2 linked regions of the Cricetulus griseus genome follow. The protein of the gene in region 1 purifies or fractionates together with the protein of each later gene. This does not show direct contact. Links are inferred from orthologs where the notes say so. Each region holds a gene or a part of one and is shown on either strand. Other genes may lie near its edges. The genes, in order: testis-specific serine/threonine-protein kinase 6 and Fkbp5.

Region 1 (12,869 bases):
TGACTGGGAGCCTGCTCCTCAGGGGCTTCTGTGTACAGTCATTGGCCCAAGCACAAGGGCGACTTAACCCATGATGTGCCACGGCAGCAGACTGGTGTAGGGGGATCCGCAGAGTCAGACGATGGCATTTATTTGACTGTTCTTTATTGTGGATATCGCTCGGGCCCTACGTATACCAGGTGAAGCCGAAATTGGCGTTGTCCAACTCCTCCTGGGTGCGCAGCCCATACAACTCGGAGTTGAGAGGCGGCACCCAGCGCGTGGTGTGGAAGACAGACTCACCCACCTAAGGGCAGGAGCAGGGTCAGTCCTCAGCAGTCCCCCTGACCCTGGCCGCCACCCCACCCCACCCCCACCCCACCTACCCCCACCCTGGACTCACCTTCCAGTCAGGCACATCTTTCATGATGATGGCCTCCTCCTCCAGGTTCTCCCGAAGAATTTGCAGGGTTCTGTGGCCACAGGGTGGGGCTACAATCAGACCTATCCAGGGCAACCACTCTGTCCCTTCCTTGACCTATAGCTCCTCCCATTCTGACCTACCTCCGGTCCTTCTCTGCCTGGAAGAGCGGCATGAGGGCGATTCGAGCCTCCAAATCCTCGATCTGCAGGCGCCTGTGAAACCAGGACACCCACTCGGGGTCAAATGTGGCCACTGAGGGAGTGTTAGACACAACCTGACAGGGCCACAGGGTGCTGGTGGGGAGCGGGGAAGGCTGGCCGCCTGAGTTGGAACAGGAAGGCAAGTCTACAGCTGACACAGGCAGGCTACAGCAAACACAAAAGTGTTGGCTTCACACTTTCCTTTCAAATAAACTTTTTTTTTTTTAAATCCTAAAAATAGCCCTGTCTGATGATCTGGGTGGAGAGGGGGGCACACTCATCACCAGGCTCTGGGCCTTACAAAACCAATTTCCCTTTGTTCTCAAAATAGCAGGGTGCTGGGTCTGAGGTCTTCCAGCAGTTATTACCCCCACAGGGAGTTGGGAATCTCTCAACTTCAGGAGCTGGGAAACAGAATCCAGTGATGTGGTTCAGGAAGAGGCCTCTAGTGGAGTTCCTTTTCTAGTGACACCCCCATCTATGACACTCATGGTCCTAGTCTCTCTGCCTCCCATGGCCTGGTTCTTTTTTTGTTGAGGTCTCACTGTGTGGCCCTGGCTGGTCTAGAACTCATAGAGCTCCACCTGCCTCTATGTCCCAAGTCCCAAGCATATCTGGCCTGGTGATCACACATAATACCAGATGGGAGACCCTTGAGTCCCAGGTGCCCTATTTATGCTAACCTGGCCTGGGAACAGCTGAAGGCCTGATCCACCAACCCTTTATTTTAGGACAGGAAGTGAGGGGTAGGACAGCCAGCCAGGACTTTTGCCCTCACAGAACCCGGTGCTGAAAAGGGCCCTCCCTACCTGCGCTCACGGTTCCACTTCATCATTCTCCAGTAGCCAAAAAACAAGGTCCCGATGCCCACAGCAAACATGCTGTAGCCTGCAAGAGAAGTGAGGCCCTCCTTCTCAGCATGGTCCCTCAGGACCCCACCCAGCAACACTGGGTCTCTGTGAAGTGTCTGCTGACTCTCCTCCACAGGTGGCCTGTCCCTTCCCAGCCACTTCCCCAGAACAGTCACTGACAGTCCTGCTTTGTGTCAGTCCAGGCTGCCACACTTTCTGGAAGGTACAGGCAGCAAGGGCACAGGAGAGCCCTATGGTCTAGAGCAGAACTTCTCAACCAGTAGGTCACGACCCTTTGGGGTTCAAACTACCTTTTCACAGGGGCCACATATCAGATATTTACATTATATTTCATAATAGTAGCAAAATTAGTTATGAAGTAGCAATGAAAATGATTCTATAGGTTGGAGTCATCGCAACATGAGGAACTGTATTTTTGTTGTTGTTTTTCAAGACAGGGTTTCTCTGTGTAGCTTTGGAGCCTATCCTGGCACTCACTCTAGAGACCAGGCTGGCCTCGAACTCACAGAGATCCACCTGCCTCTGCCTCCCAAGTGCTGGGATTAAAGGCGTGCGCCACCAATGCCTGGCGGAACTATTTTTTTTTTAAAGATCTTCCTTTAAAAAATAAAAGATTTATTTACTTATCATATACAGTGAAAAGGGCACCAGATCTCATTACAGATGGTTGTGAGCCACCATGTGGTTGCTGGGAATTGAACTCAGGACCTTGGGAAGATCAGCCAGTGTTCTTAACCCCTGAGCCATCTCCCCAGCCTGAGGAACTGTATTTTTTAATTGTTATTTTTGTTTTTCAAGATAGGGTTTCTCTATATACCCTGCTGTCTTGGAGCTCACTCTGTACATCAGGCTGTCCTGAAACTCACAGAAACCCACCTGCGTCTACTTCCCAAGTGTTGGTATTAAGGCTAGCGCCACCACCATACTGTGAGGAACTGTATTAAAGGGTCGCAGCATTAGGAAGGTTAAGAACCACTGGACTAGAAAGACAAAGGTGCCAGGTGTGGTGGCCCACGCCTTTAATCCCAGCACTCATGGTAGAGGCAGACAGATCCCTGTGAGGTGGAAGCCTGCGTGGTCTACATAGGTCCAAGACAGCCAGGGCTACACAAAGAAACCTTGTCTTGTGTGTGTGTGTGTCGGGGTGACAACAACAAAAGGACAGATGCCTGGTCCCCACCAGAAAGCATGGCTCTGAGCAGCACCACCAGAGGCTGGAAGTGCCCCCGGGGTTGCACAGCCTGCTCCTGACTCCAGGGGTGGTGTAGGCGCCACCAGTCCAGCAGGGTAGGCCACCTGCCTTACACCCAGGGGAGACAGGGACCACTATAAATAATTACTGAAGACCAGCAGGGGCAACTCCAATCCTGACTGGCAGGACAAGCTCCAGGGATTATCTACCAATGACTAGAGAGGGTATGGAGAAGGCTGGGCCACAGGGGGAAGAATGGGTTCTGGGGTGCAGCCTGACTGGACCCTCAGCTAGGTCAGGAGCTAAATATTTCCACCTACTCAGCTCGGACTTTAAGGCTCATGCTCAGAGGCCAGGCCCTCCAGTAATGGAAAGCAGGGGAAGCCTTTGGTGTTCGAGGCCATCTCTGGCAGGCTGACTGCAGGGTTAGTCAGCCCTCACCCAAATGGGAAAGCACCTGTACAAATGCTGCACCCTCATTTCCAACAGCTAAGAGGGCCCTAGGGGCCTCATCTTCAGACTCAGTCCCAGAATCTGACCAGAGCTGCTCCTAGTAATTTCTCAGACCAAACAGGCCCTTGTGGGGGGCTCTGGTCCTCAAGTGTGGGCACAATTAACACTGAGGCAGCCTATATTCAGGAGGTGCCATGGGCGAGAGTAGAGCCCACACACACCTTCCCCTCCAGCCACCCCCCACCCAGTAGCTGAAGCTGTAGGAGGCATTGCCACCCTGTGCCATTCTTTCCTGAATCAATAAACGTGTGAGTGAGTGGCAGTTCTTCCCCAACTGTGTGCAGACTCAACACAATCACCATCACAGCCTTGATCCTTTCTCCTCTGCAGAAACCCACAGTCAGGTCATGAGATTCATATGGAAGTACCCAGGGCAGTAATGCTGCTTTCAGGAAATGTGACAGCTTCAAACTCATCAGGCAGCTGTGCACAAAGACACGCTTGCCAGCAGGACAGAACCGGACATCCACGATCCGAAAATAAACCCTCAAAGTTTATGGCCAATTAGCTTTGGACAAAGATACCACAATAATTTAATGGGGTTGAGGAGACTTCTCAGCACTGGACCACTGGCCACACAGAGATGCACAGTGCCCCTGCTCACCTGGAGAAGGAACTCAACTCCCAGTGGATGGAGACCGGAAAGTAAGAGCTAGAGATGTCCAGGGCTGAGCTATTTATTTATTTATTTATTTATTTAGGTTTTTCGAGACAGGGTTTCTCTGTGTAGCTTTGGAGGCTGTCCTGGCACTCCCTCTGGAGACCAGGCTGATCTCAAACTCACAGAGATCCGCCTGCCTCTGCCTCCGCCTCCCGAGTGCTGGGATCAAAGGCGTGCACCACCAACGCCCGGCCAGGGCTGAGCTTAATAGGTAGAATGCTTGCCAGCCTAACATGCTGACTCCTGATCCCTAACAGCATCATCCAGGAGTGGAGGCGCATGTCTGTGATCCCACCACTCAAGAAGCAGAGGCAGGATAATCAAGGGTTCAAAGTCATCCATGGCTACATAGGGCAGCCAAAGCTATATGAGAACCCATTACACACACACACACACACACAGACACACAGACACACACACACACACACACACACACACACACACACACACACACACACACGGCTAGAAGTGATATCAAAAGCCTTAAGGCAGGTGGATCTCTGGAGTTAGAGGCCAATCTTGTCTACATAGAGTTCTAGGCCAGTGAGGATAACATATGAGACCCTGTATCAAAAAGAAAAAAAATAGATAAATTTAAAAGGAAGGAAGGAAAGAAGGAAGGAAGGAAGGAAGGAAGGAAGGAAGGAAGGAAGGGCCCGCACCTTTAACTCCAGCATTCAGAAGGCAGAGGCAGGTGAATCTCTGAGTTTGAGGCCAGCCTGTTTCACACAGTGAATTCTAGGCCAGCCAGGGCTACAGAAAAACTCTGTCTTGAAAAAACAAAAGAAAACAAAAGAAAAGAGAAGAAAAGAAAAGAAAAGAAAAGAAAAGAAAAGAAAAGAAAAGAAGAGCCCAAGTGCCCTGATGCATTCTTATAACGCCGGTGCCCAGGAGGTGGAGTGGGAGGGTCACTGTTTGCAGCTTCCCTGGTTTGCAGCAAGTTCCAGGCCAGCCAGGGCTCTGCAGTGAGACCCTGGTTCAAAGAAAGATGTGCACAGCATGGTGCTCCCCCCACCTCCTCCAAAAAACAGTGAATATATAAATCTACTTTAGAAGAATACAAACAGGACTTCCTTAAGTAAGAGAAACTATTTGTGTAAATGACACTATTAGCTGAGCAGGCCACTGGGAAGGGAAATATCTGCAGAGTATCTGAAAATGTCACAGTACCCCAAACTCAAGTCATCAATAATAAAAATCACATACTCTGGGTGGTGGTGGTGCACACCTTCAATCCCAGCACTTGGGAGGCAGAGGCAGGTGGATCTCTCTGAGTTTGAAGCCAGTCTGGTCTACAGAGAGAGCTTCAGGCCAGCAAAGGCTACACAGTGAAACCCTTTCTCTAAATAAATAAATCTTAAAAACAAAACAAACAAAAAAAGGCGCAGAGCAATAAGGCCAGCACAGCTGTGTCAGGATCTAAAGGGGAAAACCGCATGTGATTTCCAAACAGAAGGAAGCGCTGGGCAGGTGGTTCAGTGGGTAGAGTGCCTACCTAGCAGGCACAAACCCTGGGCTCCACAGCCAGCACCACAGAAACCAAGCTTAGTAACACACACCTGTCATGCCAGCACTCAGGAGGTGGGAGCAGGTTCAGTGCAGGGTCACACTAAGCTACAGAGAGAATTCAAGAGCTACATGAGACCTTGCCTTTAAGTAAATAAAATGCAGGACACATAAAGATTAAAAGTAAGGAAGTAAAGCTTGTAGGCCTGAGGAACCCCCCAGCTTAGTCTAGGTGCCTATGGGCAAATGCTATGCAGTCAGCATGGTGCAGGCCTGAGTGGGGCACAGGCTTGGGTGTGTTACAGCTCAGAAAGAGATGAAACAGAGGAGCTGCCAAGTGGCTCAGCTGGTAAACGCGCTTGCTGAAGAAACCCCGTGATCTGAGCCCCATTCCTGGAACCCCCACGAAGAAAGAAGAAGAAAACTGACCTCCCCATACACATGCATACACAAAACAATTATTAAAATATAGAGCTGGGCCTGGTGTTGGTGGCGAACGCCTTTAATCCCAGCACTTGGGAGGCAGAGGCAGGCGATCTCTGAATCTAAGGTCAGCCTGGTTTACAGAACTAGTTCCAGGACAGCCAGGAATGTACAGAGGAACCCTGTCTTGGGGAAAAACGGAAGGAAGGAAAGAAGGAAGGAAGGAAGGAAGGAAGGAGACGGTGTACACACCTATTATTCCAACACTCCAATGCCTGAAGCAGGAGGAAAAGAGAAAGGGCATTCAAAGCTAGTCTGGGCAAGAGTAAGAATCCTCAGAAAAAAGAGAAGCTGGGCAAAGGAGGCAGCTCAGGGGCTAGGAGCACTGGCTGTTCTTGCAGAGGAACCAAGTTTGGTTCCCAGGACCCATGAGGTATCTCACAGTTGTCTGTTACCTCCAGTTCCAGGGTTTCTGGCACCCTCAATTGGGCTTCAAGGGTATACACAAACAAGGTGCAAAGACATACAACAAAACACATGAAACAAAAGATTAATTAAAAAAAAGGGGGGGGGGGGCTGGAGAGATGGCTCAGAGGTTAAGAGCACTGATTGCTCTTCCAGAGGTCCTGAGTTCAATTCCCAGCAACCACATGGTGGCTCACAAACATCCGTTATGAGATCTGGTGCCCTCTTCTGGTGTGCAAATATACATGTAAGCAGAATGTTGTATACATAATAAATAAATAAAATCTTAAAAAAAAAAAAAACTTTAAAGAGTACTTGCTGACCATGTGGTGGTTACACCTTTAATCCCAGCACTCAGGAGACAGGCAAACCGATTTCTGGGTCAGCCTAGACTATAGAGTAAACTCCAGACAGCCGGGCTACACAGAGAAACCCTTTCTGGAAATAAATAAAGCACTTGCTGCTCTAGTTCAGTTTGCAGCACTTACATGGAAGCTCACAGCTGTTTTTAACTTCAGTTCCAAGGGATCTGACACCCTTTTCTGGCTTGCACAGACACCAGACATGCATGTACTTTGTAGCCCAAGCTGGCCTTGAACTCAAGATACCTGTCTGCCTCTGTCTCCCAAGTGCTAGGATTCAAGGTGTGCTGCACCTGAACCACCACCACCACCACCACCACCACCACCACCACCACCACCACCACCACCATCACCACCACCACCAACACCACCCAGCCAGGGATTCTGTGTATTGCTTTGGAGGCTGTCCTGGAACTCACTCTGTAAACCAGGCTGGCCTCGAACTCACAGGGATCACCTGCTTTCAAACAGGGTCTCACAATATAGTCCTGGCTGGCCTGAACTCTTCACATAGTCTAGGCTAGCCTCGAACTTGGGATGATCCCATCTTTGCTTCTCCTGGGTAGGGCCTGAAGGTTTTGTTTTTTATTTGAGGTATAGTTTACAAAATATGCACAGTAAAGTATAATGAATTAAAATCTAAATCCGCAGAGGGTGGAGTTACCAAGCTCAGGTCCTCTGGAAAAACATCAGGTACTCCTAAACACCAAGCCATCTCTCCAAGTTCCTGAATTCTTTCTTTTCTTTTCTTTTTTTTTTTTTTTTAGCAGAAGGCAGCATCATGTAGCCCAGGATGACCGGTGTCCACCACTTGGTACTGTTTATGCGGAGCTAGGAGTGAGACCCAGGACTTTGAAATGTTAGGCGGGCACTATACCGATTGGACCCCAACCCCTAACTATGGTATTTTTGTAACCCTGAGCAACGAGGGTGGGAAACTTAATATTCTCCCCATTCTTTTCCTGCTGAAATCAACAATACAATTCTAAATGTTACTTAAAACACACATGTCTGTCAGCCTGGCAAGTGGAGGCGGAGGTGGGGGGTCGAGAGCTGCAGAGTGGCCTGGGCTCTGTGCCAGGGCACCATCGACACACACGGAACCTCCTCTTTGGGTCAATCTGTCATTCCAGCACCCAGGGGCAGCGGCAGGGCGGCCACGATTCTGAGGCTAGCCTGGGCTACACAGTAAGGCCCTAACTGCAAAAAAAAAAGAAAAAGAAAAAGGTGCAGACTTGTCAGGTCCTCCCTCGGCCGGCCTGAAACCAAACAAAGTCTGCGAATCGCGGCTCGCTCTGAACGTCCCGCAGCTTAGCTTCTCCAACTGTGGAAGCCACCTGGGGGCCGGGGAGACGCGCAGCCGGGTCCCTCAGGGCGCTGCGACGGCGAGGCCTCCCTCCCTCCGTCCTTCCCTCCCTCCCTCCCGGTGTGACATGACCCCCGCCGCACACTGACCCGACAGGCCCCGGCGGGGCAGGTTCCGCTTGTAGTCGATGGGGCCGTAGCCCCCTGGCGGGGGCATGTCCTGCTTCACCTTCGACGCCGCCATACTTGCGACACCCCACTTCCGGTCACCAGCGGAAGTGAGGCGACGCTCGGCGGCCATTTTGAGTGTGGCGGAAGTGGGTCGTTCTCCGACGGTTCTGAGGTTCCCGCCGGTCCCCGGCGGCCAGCCCCGAGATGTGCACCAGGGCCGCCGTCCGACCCATCCCGGGCCCCGGCAGCCGGCCGAGCCCACCCCGCCGAGCAGCGTCGCCCCCCGGGCCGGCCGGGCCGCGCCCCGCCCCACGGGTGACCGGTCCCCCCGCCGGCGCCTCACGGGGAACGGGCCCGGCCGAGCGATTGAGTCACAAAGCCCGAGGCGGCCTGCGGCGCCCGCGCGGGGCGGGCAGCGCGGCCCCCACCCCGGGCCCAAGTGACGCCCGCGGTCACTTCACAAGGCAGAAATTGTTACCCGGGCAATAACAGTCGTCGCGGCTCCAGGGCCTCGGGAGTGGGCACATGGGGGCACGGGGGTGCGGGTGCCAAGCACCATGGGTTAGGCCCGAGATCGGAGTCCGGCCGCCCCCCGACAGCAGCCGCCTCCTGCTCCCCGCGCCCCGGGCGCCACCATGTCGGGCGACAAGCTCCTGAGCGAGCTCGGCTACAAGCTGGGCCGCACAATAGGTGAGGGCAGCTACTCCAAGGTGAAGGTGGCCACCTCCAAGAAGTATAAGGGCACGGTGGCCATCAAGGTGGTGGACCGTCGGCGGGCACCTCCCGACTTCGTCAACAAGTTCCTGCCTCGAGAGCTCTCCATCCTGCGCGGCGTGCGGCACCCGCACATCGTGCACGTCTTCGAGTTCATCGAGGTGTGCAACGGGAAGCTGTACATCGTGATGGAGGCGGCGGCCACCGACCTGCTGCAGGCCGTGCAGCGCAACGGGCGCATCCCGGGGTCGCAGGCGCGCGAGCTCTTCTCGCAGATCGCGGGCGCCGTGCGCTACCTGCACGACCACCACCTGGTGCACCGCGACCTCAAGTGCGAGAACGTGCTGCTGAGCCCCGACGAGCGCCGCGTCAAGCTCACGGACTTCGGCTTCGGCCGCCAGGCGCACGGCTACCCGGACCTGAGCACCACCTACTGCGGCTCGGCCGCCTACGCGTCACCGGAGGTGCTCCTGGGCATCCCCTACGACCCCAAGAAGTACGACGTGTGGAGCCTGGGCGTCGTGCTCTACGTCATGGTCACCGGGTGCATGCCCTTCGATGACTCGGACATTGCGGGCCTGCCCCGGCGCCAGAAGCGTGGCGTGCTCTACCCCGACGGCCTCGAACTGTCGGAGCGATGCAAGGCCCTGATCGCCGAGCTGCTACAGTTCAGCCCGTCCGCCCGGCCCTCGGCGGGCCAGGTGGCGCGCAACGGCTGGCTGCGGGCCGGGGACTCCGGCTAGGAGCCGGGGTTCTCGCTGTTCCCGCCGCACCAGGCCCTAAGCCAGGGCGGCGCACGCGCGACTGGCGAGCTTCGGGAAACCCGCGAAGTCGCCGCGCGCCACTGCGCACGCGCCCTGTCCCTTCCCCTCCCCCGACGGCGGCGGCCCGCCGAGGCCGGCTGTTGGATTCCTCCTGCACAACCCGATTGCTGGAGGGCGCATGCGCATCCTCGATTTCTGGCGAGAAGGCCCCGGGAGGGGCGCTAAGAGAAGAGAAGGAAGCATTGCGCCTGCGCGGAATGAGCTCCTGCTGCGCGGTGGGTGGCCGCGGCGCGGCGAAGCTGCGGGCCAGCCGTGCGGGCCAGCCGTGCGCTCCAAGTTCCAGTTTGGAACCTGCAATAAATTCGCTCTTCCTCGCAAGTGGCGTTAGCGGTGGGCCCTTGTTAGAGAACAGGGGGTAGGTGAGGTCTCAGCACCTTAGAGAAAGCCATGTATGTGAAGATTCCAGCGTCAGAACTTTCAATTCCCCAAACTGGCCAAACTTCTGGAGGTTCTGTAGTCGTCAACAGGTTGTGATGATGCTTGAATTGGGATCGGCGTGCGTAAAGGAAGGGAGTGCCTGTCCGCAAAAACCGAGCATTGGCAGATGGGGAAACTGAGGCCCACACAGGTGTCAATTGTGCAGAGACGACTATGGTTTGTACTCGGGTATCAAGATGCCTGATGGTGGAACTCTCCCTAGTTTACAGGGAGAAAACAGACCCAGCAAGCCCAGTTCTTCGTGTCTTGAATCAGGTCCTGGGACTTCAAAAGGCTTGAACCATCCTTGCCTAACAAGGATACAAGTGCAATGCCAAGTAACTTAAGATAAAATGTGGAAAGAATTGTAAGTTATAAAGGATGTTAGGTAGGGCAGGGGTATCCAGAGAGAGACTATGAAGCTGTTTGGGGGCTGTGCCCAAACCATTAAAAATGGCACAGAATGCCAGGAGTGTGGCACATGCCTTTAATCCCAGCACTCAGAAGGCAGAGGCAGGTGGATTTCTCTGAGTTTGAGGCCAGCCTGGTCTACATAGTGAGTTCCAGGACAGCCAGGGTTAGAGAAACCCTGTCTCCAAAAACCACACACACACACACACACACACACACACACACACACACACACACACACACACACACAGGCCAGAAAACACAGGACAGAGTGATCCTGGGGAAGTTCCTGGGGCTGAAATAGGAGGGGAATGAGGAAATGGAGGGGAGCTAGAGCAGTACTTCAAAGGGGACCCTGGAGGTGATTTTACTGGGGTTTAGTGACTGGGAAACATTTTCAACCGTCTCCTGCCCCTGTATGAGGCCCAGGTAGTCTAAGGGGCTGTCTGCTGTGGGTCTTGCTATGCTCAACCCCTGCTCCCCTCTCCACAGGTTTCTGGTACCCTGGAGGTCCAGCGTTAGCTCTGTCCTCATTCTGGGTCTCAACTGCCTCATGATGGGGAAACTGAGGCTGCAAGAGAGGGGGGGACCTAAACTCTAGTACTGTCTGGACCTAGTAATGCCAGACCTAGGCAGAAACAGTCCACCCTCTGGTGAATAGGGAGGCTCTGTGGTCACGGGTTTGTGCTCAGTACCTGAGGCATTGAGCAGGACACAATCCCTGGGGCTTGGGCAGCAGATTCCATAGATGGAGTCTTCCAGATTCCAGCACACTAGAATGGATCCTTATGTTCACACAAGCTGAACTAGACATACCACCTGCTTCCCATCGTTCCTCTCTCATGCCGGGGATGGAACCCAGAACTTGAGACTAGGCAGGTGATGGTCCCCAGGGCAAGCCCCAACCCCACTCTGGGGGATTCTAGGCATGGGTTGTACTGCTGAGCCACACTCTCAGATTTGTTTTTGTTTTTTTTTTTTTGGGGGGGGGTTCGAGACAGGGTTTCTCTGTGTAGCTTTGGAGCCTATCCTGGCACTCGCTCTGGGGACCAGGGTGGCCTCGAACTCACAGAGATCCACCTGCCTCTGCCTCCCGAGTGCTGGGATTAAAGGAGTGTGCCACCAACGCCCGGCTAGATTTGTTTTGAGACATGGCTTTGCTATGTAAGCATGGCCAACCTAGGATACTTAACATGTAACCCAAATGCCCAGCTTCCCATTTTCCTTCTGTCTTCCAAATAGTCTCACTATGTAGACCAGGACAGCTCAGAGATCCTCTGTCTCCCAAGTGCTGGGATTAAAGGTGTGCCCCCCCCCATTTTTTTGCTTTCATTTGTGTATGCTTTTTTTTGGCATGTTTGTGCACTATTTGTTTACAGAGCCTGTGGAGGCCAGAAGGCATCAGGTCCCCGAGACTGGACTTACAGATGGCTGTGAGCTGCTGTGAGGGTGCTGGGGACTAAACCGGGGATGTCTGCAAGAGCAGCCAGTGCTCTTAACTGCTGAGCCATCTTTCCAGCCCCCAATTTTTAAGTAAAATGTTTCTAATAGTGGTGGATGCCTGTCTTCCCTGCACTTGGGAGGTGGAAGCAGGAGGATCAGTTCAGGCCTGAGCTTACAGCAGATCCTGCCTTAAAATCACAAAGTGAAACTGGGCATCTCAAGCTGATCAGACACCGGTGGTGGGCCAAGCCCACAGTGAAGCCCCACAAGGTGCTGGTAAAGAAATTACTCCGACAGGTCCCTGTAGCCTCAGGTGGGCAGAAGTCAATTGGGATTCTCACTGGAATCCAGCCTGTTGAGATCAAATAGGCTGGATCAATGCCATGTTGAAAAGGCATGTGCACCCCACCTTCCACTCCCCACTTTAAGATAGGCTACCAGAAGCTGGGACAAAACACTGGGGCCCCAGGAAATTAAAAAACAATACAGTGACATTTGGTTGTTTTATTGTCCTTCAGTGTCTCAGAACTCCCAGATACAAGGCGGCTACCAATTCCAGCTCATTTCTTGGAATATATAATTCCTTTGGTAGTAAACTTTAACACATTATCAATGACTCAGTCACAACAAATACAAGTAGAAGCTGTCTTCCCCAATCCCATACCCTGCACTAGTGTAACTGTTACACTGAAAATTTAGAAACCGCTTTTTGGCAATAGTCCAAGGTCTTCAGGCTGACAGGATTTGGAATGGTGAGGACCATCCTTCTCCAAACACCAAACAGGACCATTCAGGCCGATACTCACCTGGGTTCTCTGCTACAGCCAGCACTGTCACCTTACTCTACCTGGGGTAAGCTTTGGTTTTCCTGAGGTGTCTATGTGGGTGGTCAGGTCCTGAGGCTGCTCATAGGGTCACTATCCCCCACATACCTACCCAGGTGACACTTGGGAGTTGGGCAAGGTCCCTGAGGTTTCTTCAAGCAAC
Region 2 (16,437 bases), about 16 Mb from region 1:
CTTCCCTCCCTGCTTTCTGAAGAACCCAGCTCATGCTGCCACCACTCCACAAGTGTGTCTGTGCGCGTCACTGGGTGGACCTACAGGGGAGGGAGGCCTGTGACGTTTTGGGAACCATGTCAGAAGCCAGACATGGTGGTGTGCACTTAGAATCCCATTGCTCTAAAGGCTAAAGCAGAAGGATCACCTGTCTCAGGCCAGCCTGTGCTACCTAGCATGACCCTGTCACCACTGCCACCACTCCTGTGCAAAAAAAATAAAAAGAGAGCACTGGGTAACCATGAAGACATGTGTTCAGATCTCTAACACCCATGTGAAAAGCCGGACATGGAGGCATGTGCCAATGACCCCAAGACTGCCGCAGGCAGCAGGATCCCTGGGACTTGCTGGCCAGCCAGCCTGGCCAATCAGTTTGCTCCAACTTTAGTAAGACACCTGTCTCAAAAAGTTAAGTGAAGATCTGACAAGATGCCTTCATGGGTAAAAGCCACAAAACCCAACAACCTGAGTTTGTCTCTAAAACCCACGCAGGAGAGAACTGACTCTGCAGGGTTGTCCTCTGACACCCCCCCCCCACACACACACACACACACGTAATAATAAATAAAATCAGTGTAGTTTTAGAAAAGAGACAAAGGGCTGGAGAGATGGCTCCGAGGTTGAGAACATTGGCTGCTCTTCCAAAGGTCCTCAGTTCAATTCCCAGCAACCTCCTGTAATGGATACATGAAGACAGAACACTGTATACATGATAAATAAATCTAGGGAGAAGGAAGGAGACAAAGGAAATATATGTTGAAAAAATAAGTAAAAGTAGTTTTGTTTTTTTAAATAGGTGGGGAGTGATAGAGAAAGACACCTAAATTGACCTGTGGTCTTTACACAGGTTCATACACTAGCAATATTTGTTGTTCACATGGTATAATATGTATTTATTGGCTGTCCTGGAACTCGCTCTATAGACCAGGCTGGCCTCAAACTCATAGAGATCCTCCTACCTCTGCCTCCCAAGTGCTGGGATTAAAGGCGTGTGCCACCATTGCTCACCTGACTCCACTTGAATTAACTTTCTTTCTTCCTTTCTTGTATTTGAGATTTATTTTTATTTTCTGTGCATTAGTGTCTCTTCTGCCTGTGTGTCCATGAGAGAGGGTCAGCTCTCCTGGAGCTGGAGGTACAGACAGTTGTGAGCTGCCTTGTAGGTGCTGGGAATTGAACTCAGGTCCTCTGGAAGAGCAGCCAGTGCTCTTAGCTGCTGAGCCATCTCCAGCCCTCCACTTGAACTTTCTAATCCATATGTACTAAATAGAGCCAATCACTCCTATTGCATTTCCTGAAAGACTTTGGTTATTCTACTGGACTCTGTGATCTTAACTCCAGCAGTTATATGGATCTTTCTTTTTTTTTAAACCCATGGACTCAAGTACACAGAACAAGCACTGTCTCACTGAATGACAGCCCCAGAGCTGTTGCTTCTAGACCTGCATGGACAGTTGTGGAGAATAGGGTGCACATGATACAAGCTGCCCCAGGTGAGGGTGGAGTCATTTATGCTCAGCTCTGCAGTGATGTTTCCACATGAGCTCCCGTTTTCCTAGTCATATTTTGCTGAAAAGCCCCCAAGGAAAGGCATCATTGAGGTGTAATCCCAGCGCTTGGGAGGTGTTGGCAGGAGGGTCACAAGTTCAAGGTCATCCTTGTCTACATTGTAAGGTGGAGGCCAGCCTGGAAAAAAAAGAAAAGACATTGCCCAAGTGCACACCTGCAAGCTGATACTGGTAGAGACTATAATCCATCTGGTCGTGAGTGATGAGACAATGCCTGACCTGGAATTTAAAAAGTTCTCTGTGCATGTACAGCTTGGCCTGGACCATAAGTAATGATCCTGATTGAGAGCTGGAAAACAGACTTGGCAGAAGCAGAAGTGAGGAGGCCTCGGGAGGCCAGCTTTGTCGTTCTACAGTGCAGTCCTTCAGAGCGCTCGGCTCGGCTCGGCTCTGATGCTCTTGCTGTGCTTTGCCCATTCTCCTTGGACAGCTTTGCTTGGTCAGACCACAGCTTGGGAACCACGGCTCATGTTCTTAAAGTGGCACCTAGACCACTGGCCCGGTGGTGGCTCCGCAGCAGCACACGGTGCTGCCTGCCAGTGTCTTGTTTTTCGAGACAGGGTTTCTCTGTGGCTTTAGAGGCTGTCCTGGAACTAGCTCTTGTAGACCAGGCTGGACTCAAACTCACACAGATCCACCTGCCTCTGCCTCCCGAGTGCTGGGATTAAAGGCGTGCGCTACCACCACCCAGCCGCCTGCCGGTGTCTTGAGTTTGGGTATCTTCTAGAAGTAGCTGGTGTTTGATCTGTAGGCATCAAGTGGTGTGTGTCCTCCTGCTCATCTAACTAATGCCACAAATCTGTACACAGGCCAAAGAATCCTGGGAGATGGACACCAAAGAAAAACTGGAGCAGGCTGCCATTGTCAAAGAGAAGGGAACGGTGTACTTCAAGGTGTGTGAGTCCCTGTAAACCCTGTCCCTGCCCCACTGTTGCTCAGTGTCCATGTGCCGTGCTGGTAACCCTCAGTTTCCACGCTTTCCTGCTGTCCTCAGTGTAAGGATCTGTGAGAAGAGCGCGCTAGTGTGAAGGCAGTAACTCAGGCACCTCACCTTTATGCCATGAGCAGACCTCACCTGGCCTGCTCACCTGCATCCGTACCACTCAAGGCCTGATGGTGCATCCCGGTTGGTCCATCGTTAGTGTGCAGTGGGTGTGAAGAGAAAGGATGGAGAGAGGTTGTGATAGTCAGAGTTCACAGGAGTGGGCTCCACGCTTCCTCCCACTCCTCAAGTTCACTAGGACCTGTGACAGGAAACAACATGCAGAGTCTTCAAACCACGCTGGGTGACCCCCTCCCCCTGCATTACTGCACTGCACTTGTTTTCATGTAAGCACAACCCAAGAAGGCCCTGGTTGTTCTCATTATGGTTTCCACTTGAAATAGGAATTACTGGGGCTGGAGAGATGGCTCAACAGTAAGAGCACTAACTAACTGCTCTTCCAGAGGTCCTGAGTTCAACTCCCACAACCACATGGCGGCTCACAGCCATGTATAATGGAATCTGGTGCCCTCTTCTGGCCTGCAGGCATACATGGAGGCAGAATCCTGTATACGTAATAAATAAATCTTTAATAAAAAATAAGAAATATGAATTACCTTTGCACTCTAAATTGGAACAGCAGTTTTCACAGCCAGTATCCTCAAAATAGATCTTTAATATTTGATAAGTTTGGGGGATTGTTGTTGTCGTTTAAGACAGGATTTCTCTGTGTAGCCCTGGCTGTCCTGGAACTTGCTCTGCAGACGAGGCTGTCCTGGAACTCATGAGATCCACCTGCCTCTGCCTCCAAGGTGCTGGGATTCAAGGAGTCTACCACCACTGCCCACCTTGTTTGATAAGTTTTATCTAGAAATACATCACTGCTGCTGTAACTGAACAACAAAATAAAGATGCCACTAATGGTGCTGGCTGGGTACCAGGAAAACTCTGGAGACTGGCATGGATGACTCAGCATCCAGGGATGCTCAGCACAGCGCATTTAAGAACCTGGTGGGGAGAGGGCACTGAACCTTGCACTGGCCATGGTGATACTACTTACAGCTGCCCTACATGACAGCTGCTTCCCCAGAGCCCTCTCCGTGGGACCTAGGAGCCAGTGCTTTATCCCATAGATTCTAATCCCAGGTGCAAGAAAGGAGATTTCAGAGTGCCATACAGCTTGTTGCCAGCCCACTCCCAAATGTGTATCTCTGCACACCAAGTGAAGACTTAGTGTTGAGAATTCAAAAATGGATGTGTTCTCCTGGGCTAGGTGATGCTGTTGGAAGCAGCTGATTCAGTTCCCTGCCTTGTAGTAAAGAGGTTGAAGCCTGCAGCCAGCTGTGGTGGTACACGTCTTTAATCCCAGCGCTCCAGAAGCAGAGACAAATGGATCTCTGTGAGTTCAAGGACAGGTCTGCATAGCAAATTCCAACCAATCGGGGCTACATAGTGAGACACACACACCCCCCCCCTCTCTCTCTCTCTCTCTCACACACACACACACACACACACACACACACACACACACACACACACACGTGTTCTTGGATTTTTTTTCTTGTAACTGCAGTCTTGAGAAAGGGGGTGTGGAGGGAGAGAAAGAGCTATCCATTGGTTTATTTACTTGTTAAAGAAGATTCTTTTTTGTTTGTTTGGTTTTTTTTGTTTTTTGGTGGTTTGTTTTCATGACTCTGTGAAGCACAGGTCTGAGTCAGGTCTTCATGGGCCCCTTTCTGTCACATGGCACTGCCGCCTCTACCACCTTATCTGCAGGTGGGAACCAAGTGGGATAACTGGCAGAGACAGTAAAGACCACTGGGCTTTTTGTTTAGCGGGAGGCAGTTCATCTGTTCTCCATTTGAGACCAGTGTTGGGTCATGGGACCATCTCAGTGATTGTGCACTGCATATGGTGTGGATGAGTTTTGTTTATTGTAAGTGATACTAGGTAGTCATTTTTTAAAGTACTTTTTTAAAAGATTTTATTTATTTATTATGTATACAACATTCTGCTTCCATGTCTATCTGCACACAGAAGAGGGCACCAGATCTCGTTATAGATGGTTGTGAGCCACCGTGTGGTTGCTGGGAATTGAACTCAGGACCTCTGGAAGAGCAGTCAGTGCTCTTAACCTCTGAGCCATCTCTCCAGCCCTGTGGGCAGTCATTTTAAAGCACGTCTTCACTGTGGGCGAAATCTAGAGATTTTAATAATATACATCCATTTGTTTATTCTAACAGTTGCTAAAATAAAAAAGAATAAAGTATGAATCAGAATACAGACAGATATGAGCTCTCAGTTGGGAAATCTGGAAAATTCGACCTTTGGTTTTCATGTGATTCAGATCCCTTACTGGTGTTTCTTGGGAGCATTACAGTGATGATACGTATATTTCAACATGTTTTGAATCTTCCTAAAATTACCAATCTGGATAAAATCTGGATCATCAGTCACACATATGGAACATATTATTCTTAACATGTAATTTGATAGACAAGATCTTTCTGTTAGGGGAAAATTAATGAAAGGTTCAAAACCAGTGACCTAAGACTTACCCCAGACCGTCTCTGGACATTTTGTACCATTGACGTCCTAGAGGCACCCTTCCTAATTATAGGTGAAGGTCACAGTGGTGATGCTAGCTGGAGCTGTGGGTTTTGGAAGTGTTGGTAGGCTGCCTCCTGTACGAGTTCCCTTTTCAATGCTCAGGACAGCTTTCGTTCTGCCTGCCTGCCTGCCTGCCTGCCTGCCTGCTGCTCTCAGCAGTCCATCTTCCCAGGGTGTCTGACTTGACATGTGCCGCACCCAGCATGCAGAAGTGTGGGTGACTGCAGAGATGGGCCGCACTGCTGACCTGTATTTCAAAACATCTGCACATTTTATTGACCTGCAAGCTTGGTTAACAGCTGTGGGCAAAGCAGGACTGAGTTGTGCTATTTAGACTGGTGTTGAAACTTCCTTTCAACCTCTGAACACTCATGAGAAGAGAAGCAGGAAATGACTAACCTCGTCTAGTTCTGCAAGTCATTGTTAAGCATAGGTGGCCTGTGAAGGCTGGGGACTCCCTGCTGTGTGCAGGTGTCTTGCGCCCCCTAGTGCTCCATGAGAAGGAAGTGTGTCTGAGGCTGGCTGGTTGTGCCTGGGGGCCAGGACTCACTGCTATGAGTACAGGCAGTCCTCCTGCCGGTCTCAGCAGTGTGCAGTGTGTAAACATTGGGTTTCGTATCCTGCAGTGTGCTGCCCTCTGCCATCTGATAGAACGTGTCCTCTGTACTCAGGCTTGTACTTGCCTGCTGCAGAGAAGAGTCCTAACCTGATTCCCAACGGCCACTCCACAACATGAAGTTGCGTTATTACAGCAGTGAGCACGTGGTCTCCACCGCAGTTTCTTATTCATTCAGTAGCGTACACATTAGTAAGCAGGGCCAGGGGGTGTGCTGGCCCATGTCTGTGATTCCACTTACTCTGGAACAGCGGGTCTCACCTGTTGGTTGACCCCTAGCAGGTCACAGCATTAGGAAAATTGAGAACCACTGCTCTGGAAACTGAGGCAGGAGGACCACAAGTTTTAGGCCGGCCTTGACAACTTAGCAAGGTCCTATCTGTCTGAAATAAAAATGAGGGTTTGGCGGTATAATGGGTACAGTGCTTATAGTATACATGCGGCCCTGGGTTCAGTCCTTAGTACTGCAGAGGGGGTGGAATAGGGCAAATAAGAGTAGACCAGCTTTCTCACACATTGATTTTGCTGTTCAAGCTTGCTTATACTGTACACAGTATAAGCTGTATGCTGTACTCTGGCCCACTGCTTACTCTTAGAAGTACAATGAAGCCAGGATGCAGCCACACCGGTGCACAGACACCACCAGGACGCAGCCATGCTGCTGCAGCTTTGCCTGTGTTGGCTGGTGCTACTCTCACACTACTCATGAGAGCCGAGGACTTGCAGTCTGCTTCAGAGAGCCCAGGCTTGCTGTCTGGTGACTACGTTACCATATTGCAGTATTTACTATGCAATGCTGAATGCCAGGAGAAGAGAGAAAAGTCACCCCCGCCTTCCATAAGCCATACGGCTTGCCATCCTTTGAAAGACTGTTGAATATTGGCTTCAAATGGTGTAACCACCTGCTGCCAGGCTGGAATAATGCCAAGAAACAGCATGCCGTGTGTCAGCCTGCTACACACACAGGCTACCTCACAGACCAGCAGAGCTTCCACAGGGGAGCTGAGGCCGTATAATTCAAGGACACAGAGCGGGTTGTCATGCAAGCCTGTTCCATGTGAGGACCCAGCCAAGGCAGGCCATGCTCGCGCTGTGTTACATCCTTTCCTGAGCACAATACGAGTCATCACTGGCCTTTTTCTCCCAGGGAGGCAAGTACATGCAGGCTGTGATTCAGTACGGGAAGATTGTGTCCTGGCTGGAGATGGAGTACGGCCTATCAGACAAGGAGTCAAAAGCCTCTGAATCCTTCCTGCTGGCGGCCTTCCTAAACCTGGCCATGTGCTACCTGAAGCTCAGAGAGTACACCAAAGCTGTGGAGTGCTGCGACAAGGTGGGTGGCCCCGTGATGTGCACTTGGGTGGTCCGCACCCCACCCTCTGTCCCTGGGGAGCTTCTGTTGCCCTCAGGCAGTGTCCTCTATGCTCGGCATGAGCTGGGACACCCAGAGGATTGGGCTAGACATGGACTATTTCTATCTAGCATTTTACATATAATTTTTCATAGAATTGATGACAGTTTTCACCTGTGGTCTTACACTGGTTTTGAGCATCATAGTAGAGAAAGAACTCTGGGAGTTCCACTTTTTGTTTTGTTTTGTTTGTTTTGTTTGCCCTGCTGGGGATTGTGCCTTGTGCACACTGGACAAATACTCTACCACTAAGCCATATCCCCAGCCCTTGGGTTCCTGTTTAATGGAGCAAATTTAGTCTGAGTTTCTTAGGTCTTCAGCCACTGAAAACACAAATGTAATTTAAGGGGCGGTGGAGCATCTCAGCAGCCCTCACAGTTTTGCATTTGTGCTCTGATCCATTGCTACGAGTGGCAGCGGTTTGCCGTGAGTACCGCCTTGACAGTTTTCTATTCTAGTTAATATGGAACAGTATATGTTACAGCATAAGTAAAAACTACCATTGAGTGAGTGTATCTTACAGGTGGGCCTGAAGACAGTTATAACAGTTATAACTGTCCTGTTGCCATGAAGAGACACCATGGCCAAGACAACTCTTATGAAAGAAAGCTTTTTGTTTGTTTGTTTTTCATTACACAGGGTTTCTCTGTGTAACAGCCCTGGCTGTCCTGGAACTCACTCTGTAAACCACACTGGCTGCCAACTCAGAGATCCACCTGCCTCTGTCTCCGGGTGCTGGGACTAAAGTTGTGTACCACCACCGCCTGACAATTTTGTGCTTTTTTTTAAATACAGAGATGTTACAAAGCTGCTCAGAATTCAAGCATACAAGAAATTCCAGCCATAGAATTTCCATCAGCTTTGTCTCTCAAAGCCATTTTTTTAAAGATACACTTTACGTTTTTTAAATATTTGTACATGCATGCTATCTGTGTGTGGGAATGTGCTTGTGTGCACACAGGTGCTCCTGGGGGCCAGGAGAGAGATCTGATCCCTGGAGCTTGGGTCACAGGCCTTATTCTTCCCCAGCCCTCCTGCTCCATTCTGTAAACATTCATTATGTGCAGATAGGTGCTGTGTAGACGCCATGGTGCACATATGGGCAACTTGAGGAGTTCTTCCACCGTCCAGGTCCTGAGGATCCAACGCAGTAGTAAGCCTGGCCTAACCCACAGGAAGGGAACACCCAGTAGATGGGAAATAGGAGGATCAGGAAGGTGTGTTAACTGCTGGCGTCCCTCAAAGTTGTGAGCTCCGGGTTCAGGGAGAGACCTTGCCTCAAAAGGAGTAAGGGAGAAAGTAATAGAAGAAGATACTTGTCCTTTGGCCTCTGTGTGTGTGTGTGTGTGTGTGTGTGTGTGTGTGTACGTACACAGATGAATGTACATCCATACACTTATGCATAATACATACAAAAAAATGAACTTAAAGCTGACTAGAGAAAGATCTGGACATAATTCCCTTCCCTGTCGGATGACTGCACTCACTGCTCTCCCTCATCAGGGTTAGGATTAAAAGACTCGTTGTAAGATCAGATGTGTGAAGGTGTGGTGGTTTTACTTTAATTCGTCCTCACTGCAAGATCTTCAGAGTTTGCTTTTGTTATTAGAAGGTTCAGAGTAATTTTAAAAGTTAGAAGAGAATGTGATGCATTCAGTGTTTCTCGTCGCATGTTTTTGGGGTGTTTGCACAGGATAAATTCCTACAAGTGCCAGAGATAGGAGCACTTAAAGTTTTAGGTGGGTAAAGTGCCTGTCACACAAGCGTGAGGCCCTGAGTTTGATCCTTGGCACCCGCATAAAAGCTGTGCATGGGGGCTAGAGAGTGGCTCAGTGGCTAAGGCACCTGCTGCTCTTCCAGAGGACCCAGGCCCCATTACCAGCACTCACATGGTGGCTCACAGCTCTCTGTAACTCCAGTTCCAGGGGATCCTAATACCCTGTTCTGCCTTCCACTGGTGTAGAGTCAGTGCTCATACATACATACATACATACATGCAGGCAAAATACATGTACCAAAAAAAATCATAATAATTCCAGACCACCCATGCTTGTTATCCCAGTGTTGGTGGAGCAGATCTCCAGGGCTCACTGGCCAGCCACCCTAGCCTATCAGCATTCTCAGTTCCTGAAGACTGACATCTGGCCTGCATATGCATGAACATACATATGAGTTAGGGTAGGGCTCTTTGTCTGACACTTAGTTCAAAGGGTTCAGTCCATGTCTGGCTGACAGTATTGCTGTGGGCAGAAATGGAAGCAGAAGGGCATGGCAGAGAAGAGTCGCTTGCTTTTATAGAAGCCAGGACACAGAGACCCAGGGACAAGGCGTACCTTTCAAAAGCACACCTTTAATCCCAGCATTCAGGAAGCAAGGCCAGGTGGAGCTCCATGAATCTGAGGCCAGCCTGGTCTATATACTGAGTTCCAGGACAGCCAGAGCTACATAGTGAGACCCTGTCTCAAAACGAAACAAAACAAAACAAAAACTTCACACCCCTTTGACCTTCCTCTAGTCAGTCCAGTGGTTCTCAACCTTCCCAATGCTACAACCCTTTAATACAGTTCCTCATGTTGTGGTAACCACCAGTCGTAAAAATATTTCATTGCTATTTCATAACTTTGCTACAGTTATGAATTGTAAATATCTGATATTCAGGATAGCCGATATGTGACCCCTGCAGGGGGGGGCGGTGATCCCCTGGTTGGGAACCAATGCTCTAATCCCTTACAACCCTGTTCAGTACAGTCTCACTGATAAAGGGTCCTCAGGGCCAGTCAGACCTCCCAACACCATCTAGGGATCCGGCTTCAACACATGCACTTTGGGGAGGCATTTTCTATTAAAACACTTGATTATCTTGTCATCCCTGTACACACGCATGCTTCTTTGGGGTGTAATTGCATCTCTCACCTGTCACCCTTGAACTGCACACTATTTCCTGAAGCTCTTCTTCACTGCCCTCAAGTGAGAAGACTTACAGCCATCCCTCCTAAACTGTGGGCGTCTCTCTGTTCTAGGCCCTCGGACTGGACAGCGCCAATGAGAAAGGCTTGTACAGAAGGGGTGAAGCCCAGCTGCTTATGAACGAGTTTGAGTCCGCCAAAGGTGACTTTGAGAAAGTGTTGGCGGTTAACCCTCAGAATAAGGCCGCGAGACTGCAGATCTCCATGTGCCAGAAGAAAGCCAAGGAGCACAATGAGCGAGACCGCAGGGTGTACGCCAATATGTTCACCAAGTTCGCGGAGCGGGATGCAAAGGTGCGCGTGCGCAGCCCCGACCCCAGGCAGATGAGGAGCTGAGCTAACCCAGCGGAGGGGACAAGGCTGGGTTGCCAGCCTAAGAGAAACAAGGCTAAGGAAGAGACTTGGGTGTGGCCAGAGGCTGCTGAGGATGCACAGGTTTGGTAGGGCTCCAGCTGAGGCCCTGCTTGTCCACAAAGAGGTGGGGAGGCTAACTCCTGAGACATAGAAGACTGTAGACCAGGCTAGCTTCATCTCAGAGATCCTCCTGCCTCTGCCTCAGGAGTTCAGGGATTTCAGGCATCTGTCACCAAACCAAGTTAGCTTGTTATTTAAAATATTAATAAATTCAGCGTGCCTTTAATCCTAGCACTTGGGAGGCAAAGGCAAATGGATCCCTGTGAGTTGGAGGCCAACCTAGTCTACAGTGTGTGTTCCAGGACAGCTATCAGTATTTTTTTTTCCCAAGTAATACTTCCTGGGTAAGATATCCAGCTTGGCTTGGAAACGGGTGTCACTGCAGCCCCACACAGTGCTCTTTACTGTACACTGCCATCTGTTTGAATGCCAAGCTGGCAGTAGGTGTACCTGAAGACAGGTCAGCTTCTTGCCCTACAGACATTCTCTGCTCCCAAGTCTGTCCCTGAGCCCCAGCTTCCACCACCACAAGCCTTAATGATTCAACAGCCACCTCAGATAGCAAGCTCTTCTGTTGCATGCCACCACCCCCACTTACCAACTGTGCGTCCCAAATACTAGCAGACACATTTATTGTAGACTGGATTAAACCATCTTAGGAGGACAGAGGCTAATTTCACCTCCTCCTTTAACCCCCAGGAAGCAGCCAGCAAAGCAATGAGCAAGAAGACTGTAGAAGGAGAGGCCTGTAAAAGATCCGAGAGGCAGGCCATGGAAGAAGGAAAGGCTGAAGGCCATGTATGACGCCACGCCAAGGAGGGAAGAGAGTCCTAATGAACTCGGCCCTCCTTGCTGGGCTCACACCCAACTCAGGACTGAACAGTGTCTAGTGTAAGGTTTGTTACAGTCTCTGGGATTCTGGAAGCAAATGGCAAAACCAATAGCTTCCCAAAATAACCACCCTGCTGCTGCCCAGGGGTGGGGGTGGGGGTAGGGGGACACGCCGGGGAACAGAACAGAAAAGCCCATTGGTGTGCAGAGACCAAGCCAGCAGCTCAAGTCCAGCTCATTTCAGTGTCCTACACAGCATCCCTTGATGGTCCCAAGGCCCCGGCTGCCTCAGGGCTCTCCATCTGCGCTTCAGTAGCCCCGCAGGAACCATCTCTGCTTTCCTGTTGGGAGGCAGGGCAGGGGTGGAAGATCTGACTCCAGTGCTGAGAACACAAGCCCAAAATGAGGGGTCCCCAGGTCCACAGCAGAGTCTCAGAGGTCACTTGCCTGCCTGTCCAGCGGCTTCCCAGGTTCCCTTCTCAGACTCTTGTGAGTGTAACTTTCCGTCACACCCAGAGAGTCTGTTATTACTCCAACACCCTCATCAGGTGGTGGTAGGTGGGAGTTTCCGGGTTAGCTTTCCCTAATTAGAGTGAACTCATTGAGTGGCTTGTTTCCCGCTGTCCCCCGCTTTAAAGTATGTTAGCTCTCAGTGCTGCTGCTCAGCCTCCTGTTTCCTTTCCCTGACTCGCTGTGAAGAACTGAGGCTTGCTCTTGTCCTAGACCTGGAGTGGACTAACGTCCACATCCAACTAAGATTGACGCAGCTACTCTTTTTTTTTTTTTTTTTTTAATTGTTTGTAAGCATATATAGCGCTTTATGGAAGAAACTTCACACTCCTCTACCATGCAAAAACATTTTTCACTTTTTACTTTTTAGCTTTGGTTTTGAAAGGCAAAATCTGTGAGGTTTGAAGCAGGCAGTTCCTCTTAGAGTGAGGGTACCTGGAGGTTTGATGGGCAGATGCTGTCCCTCTGTACCCCAGCCTCTTCGTTCTGGTGTCCTATAAAGGTTGCTGGCTTCCCATGCAGGTCCATCAAGCCAGAGTCTCCAGGTCTGGGCATGGGATCAGGGCAAGCCTTAAGTAGCCATGTAGTTGGATTTTAGTCCTGCGGGAAGTGTACAGGATTGAGTGCTACTTGCTTCTCCACAGCCTATGAACCCTGGAAACCTCACTCTTGTAGCCCTAGGGATACTGGTGGTTGCATTTAGATGAGTTTGTTTTTATGTTTGTTTTAATAAAACAGTCTCATTGTTAAGTTAGGACTTTAAAACCTACAAATCAAGTTGTTTTCAAGCTGTTCCAGTTTTATTCTACATGCAACGGATGGAGTTCAGCTTTGAGGAATTTCGTTTACTGGTGACTAAAACCTCTTAGATTTCACACTTTCCACTTCTGCCTCTTTTCATGAATAATGTTTTCAGCCCTGATCTCGCCTAGGAAGCACAAAGAGCAGGAGCTGACTGTTCTTATCTAACTCTGATGTCTGTAGTTCTGTTGACTGCAGCGCAGAAACAGGACATAGCTAAGACTTGAGCCTAGCAAGTTAGCCCATTGGCTTTTTACAGGAGACCTCTTTTTCAGAAAATTGGGTGACCTTCACCAGCTGTCTCCCAAGTGTGCACCATGGGCCAAGGAGACTGGTGCCAGGAGAAGGTGTGCAAGGTTTCCAGCCAAAAGTGGCGAGGTACCCAGCACCACTAGGCTTGATGCGTTATTGTATTCAATAATTTCAAATAATTCATATGGAAATCAGAAGATGTCTTCAAAGCACCTTTAGACTGGGTAGAATGATGGGTGACCAGATGATACACTTAAATTTTGGTTTTTAAAAAATCATTTAGAAGCTGGAGGTAGTGGGTGTATTTCCTTTAATTCCAGCACTCAGGAGGCAGAGGCAGGTGGATCTCTGTGAGTTCCAGACCAGCCTGGTCTACAAGAGCTAGTTCTAGGCCAACCTGGTCTACACAGTGAGTTCCACAACAGCCAGGCCTATATAGTGAGACCCTGTCTCAAAACAATACAAAAAAAAAAAAATCATTTAGATGCATTTTGTGTTCCTTAAATAAATTTTTTAAAAAGTGGTTTTTCATTGTTCTTACGTTGTTTTTTGATTTTTAAATTTTCCTTACTTTATCTGTGTGTGTTTGAGTGTATGTGTATCTAGGTGACCTTGGAGACCAGAAGAGGACTTTGGATCCCCTAGAAGTGGAGTTACAGGGAGTTGTGAATTTCATGTGGGTCCTGAGACCTGAACCTAAGTCCTCTGCAGATCAGTAAATACTCTTTACCTGCCGAACCTGTGTGTTCACTACGCACACATACACCATGTGCAGGTAGTGGCCAAGGAAGATAGAAGAGGGCATCAGATGCCCTGGAACCAAAGTTATAGATGGCTGTGAGCCACCATGCAGGTGCTAGGAACTGAACCCAAGACCTCTGCAAGAGCTGCCAGTGCTCTTAACTTCTCAACCATCTCTCCAGCCCTGATAAATAGCCTAAAAAGAAAAATGTTTTGGTCTACAGCCATCGTTCTGTAGACAATAGATCTCCACTGAATCTCAGAACCTCAACATATTGGACCTTGTGTTAGTCACTGTCTATCGCTGGGACAAGATAACCATGACCAAGGCAACTATATAAGAAAGGGATTATTTGGGGCTTTCAGTTTTAGAGACTCAAGAGTCTACACTGCAACCCCAGAGAACCTAGGTAACAAAGAGGACTCCAAGAAAGACAGACATGGATCTGCCTAGGAAGGGGAAAAGACAAGATTTCCTGAGTAAATTGGGAGTGTGGGGGGGCAAGGAGGACACCTTTAATCCCAACACTCGGGAGGCAGATGCAGGTGGATCTCTAAGTTCGAGACCAGCCTGGTCTACAGAGCTAGTTCCAGGACAGCCAGGGCTACACAGAGAAACCCTGTTCTCAAAGCCCCCCTGATGGGGGAAGTGCTTCTGTGTATGTGTTTGTCTTACTAGATGATAAATAAAGTACTGTTTGGCCAATGAGGCAGCAAGTTAGGCGGGACTAGGAGTCAAGGAGGATTCTGGGAAATGTAGTAAAGAAGTGGTGATCCACTCAGGAAGTGACATGGTAGGGAGACTCATATAAACAAGGGCAAGAAGGAAGTGAGCCCCTTCTCTCTTCCTCCAGAGTCACTATGTGATCCCAGTATGAGGCATCCTAGATAAGTCTTATAAAATATATAGATTTATGACAATTAAGACTGTGCTAACAGATGGGAAATCCTAGTCATTGGCCATGCAGCATTTGTACCTAATATAAGTCTCTGTGTATTATTTGGGGCCCTAACTCGGTGGGCAGAACTCGGGCAGCTGGCAGAAAGAGCCCACGTGGCTGTAGGGCTCGGGTGGCATTTGGCGAAAAGATTTATTTTAACCCCCCCCCAAAAAAAAGCCCATGGTGGCAGCACAAGTTCAAAGTGGCAGAAATAGCTGAGAGCTTAATATCTTGATCAGTCAGTACCAGGCAGAGGGTGCTAACCAGGAATGGCATTAGTGTTTTGAAACCTCAGAGATCACCCCTGCTAACACACCTCCTCTAACAAGACCACACCTTCTAATCCTTTCTAAACAGTTCTACCAGCTGGGGACCATTATCGCTTAAACCACCATAGGTTGGTCTGTCCTTGGATGCAGAAAAACTGGGTTGAAAAACTGATGGGCCCTGTGGTGGCGCCGCCTTTAATCCCAGCACTTGGGAGGCAGAGGCAGGCAGATCTCAGTGAGTTCAAGACCAACCTGGTCTACAAAGCGAGTTCCAGAACAACCAGGACTGTAACACAGAGAAACTCTGTCACAAATAAAAGCAAAATAAAGGAAAAGCTCTGATGGAGCCCACCTGAAGAAATGAGATTTGGGGGCTGGAGAGATGGCTCAGCGTTTAAGAGCACTGGCTGCTCTTCCAGAGGTCCTGAGTTCAATTCCCAGCACCCAAGTGGTGGCTCACAACTATTTATTATGGAATCTGATGCCCTCTTTTGGCCTGCAGATGAACATGCAGTCACAGCACCACATAAAACTGGGTGTGGTAGTGCCCATCTGTTCATGCCAGCTCTGGGCTAGGAACCAGGTCAAGGATCCAACGTTGCTGGTCATGGTGGCACACACCCTTAAACTCAGAGGAGAGGCAGGCAGATCTCTGTGAGTTCCAGGACAGTCGGGTCTATGTAGAGAGATCCTATTGCAAAAGTTAAAAATGATCCGACATTGTCATTGTAAATTGAGGCCAGCCTAGGATGCATGGAGCCTATGGGGGAAGGAGAAGAGAAGGGGCAACCCCTGTGGCTCCTAATACCTTGATAAGCACGACCCATGGTGTGACGGCTTGAGATGGCTGTGATTCACAGGTTCTTTGTCTAATAGGGCCAAGAGCCTCGAGAATCAGGAAAGGGGAGGGAATCCTAGCGCATGTACAGTGGCCCTGTGGTTATAAAGTCACCTGATGCCCTGACCCAGTTCCAAAATAGCCTTTTCTAGGCCGAGCTGTGGTCCTCCTGTCAGAAGAGAAGTGGGTCATCTGCTGGGCTGGGAATGCAGCCAGGTGGACGCCCCTGAGGGCACCTCCTCCCTGAAGCCACTCTGGATGAAATGGGGCTTGGATGTGGTGCTTCTGGACACCCGTACACACACCCATCCAGCAATCTGGTTAGTTTGCGAAAGATTCTGTTATTCCCTCATCTGGAGCAGCCAGGTCTGCATATTGGAATGCTGCTGTTCACTGAGGGTGAGCCCAAGGCAAGGCTCTACACTGCACACACACACACACCCCACACACACACACCAGGGGTCCATGGGCTCAGATGTAGAGAACAGTAATGGGAAAGCGACCCCAAGCCACAGATTGGAATGGGGTTCTGGAAACACGCTAGATGTAGGAAGATGTGGCGGCTTCAAGGGACTCACCTTGTGAGATCCCGGAGGTGGTGTGAGCCTAGCCACCCAGACCTGCGGGCTAGGAGCCCCCGTGTGTCTC

The links.
Region 2: the proteins of testis-specific serine/threonine-protein kinase 6 (region 1) and Fkbp5 purify together in Homo sapiens (affinity purification with mass spectrometry; 4 studies listed by BioGRID and IntAct, with this or other methods). This does not show direct contact. The link is inferred for Cricetulus griseus from reciprocal best matches to the Homo sapiens genes TSSK6 and FKBP5.

Annotation. Positions count from the first base shown.
Region 1 is NW_023276806.1:249,073,740-249,086,608, reverse strand, and holds testis-specific serine/threonine-protein kinase 6, read left to right. Parts: upstream 1-8,235; 5' UTR 8,236-8,708; coding exon 8,709-9,530; 3' UTR 9,531-12,386; downstream 12,387-12,869. Other genes in the region: Ndufa13 (NADH dehydrogenase [ubiquinone] 1 alpha subcomplex subunit 13), read right to left, coding at 167-286, 383-452, 544-615, 1,413-1,491, 8,053-8,203. UniProt on the Homo sapiens protein: Serine/threonine-protein kinase component of the sperm flagellar doublet microtubules. May act as a regulator of sperm motility by mediating phosphorylation of sperm doublet microtubule proteins.
Region 2 is NW_023276806.1:233,518,368-233,534,804, reverse strand, and holds the end of Fkbp5 (peptidyl-prolyl cis-trans isomerase FKBP5), read left to right. Parts: intron 1-2,416; coding exon 2,417-2,500; intron 2,501-6,962; coding exon 6,963-7,148; intron 7,149-10,246; coding exon 10,247-10,486; intron 10,487-11,305; coding exon 11,306-11,410; 3' UTR 11,411-12,822; downstream 12,823-16,437. UniProt on the Homo sapiens protein: Immunophilin protein with PPIase and co-chaperone activities. Component of unligated steroid receptors heterocomplexes through interaction with heat-shock protein 90 (HSP90).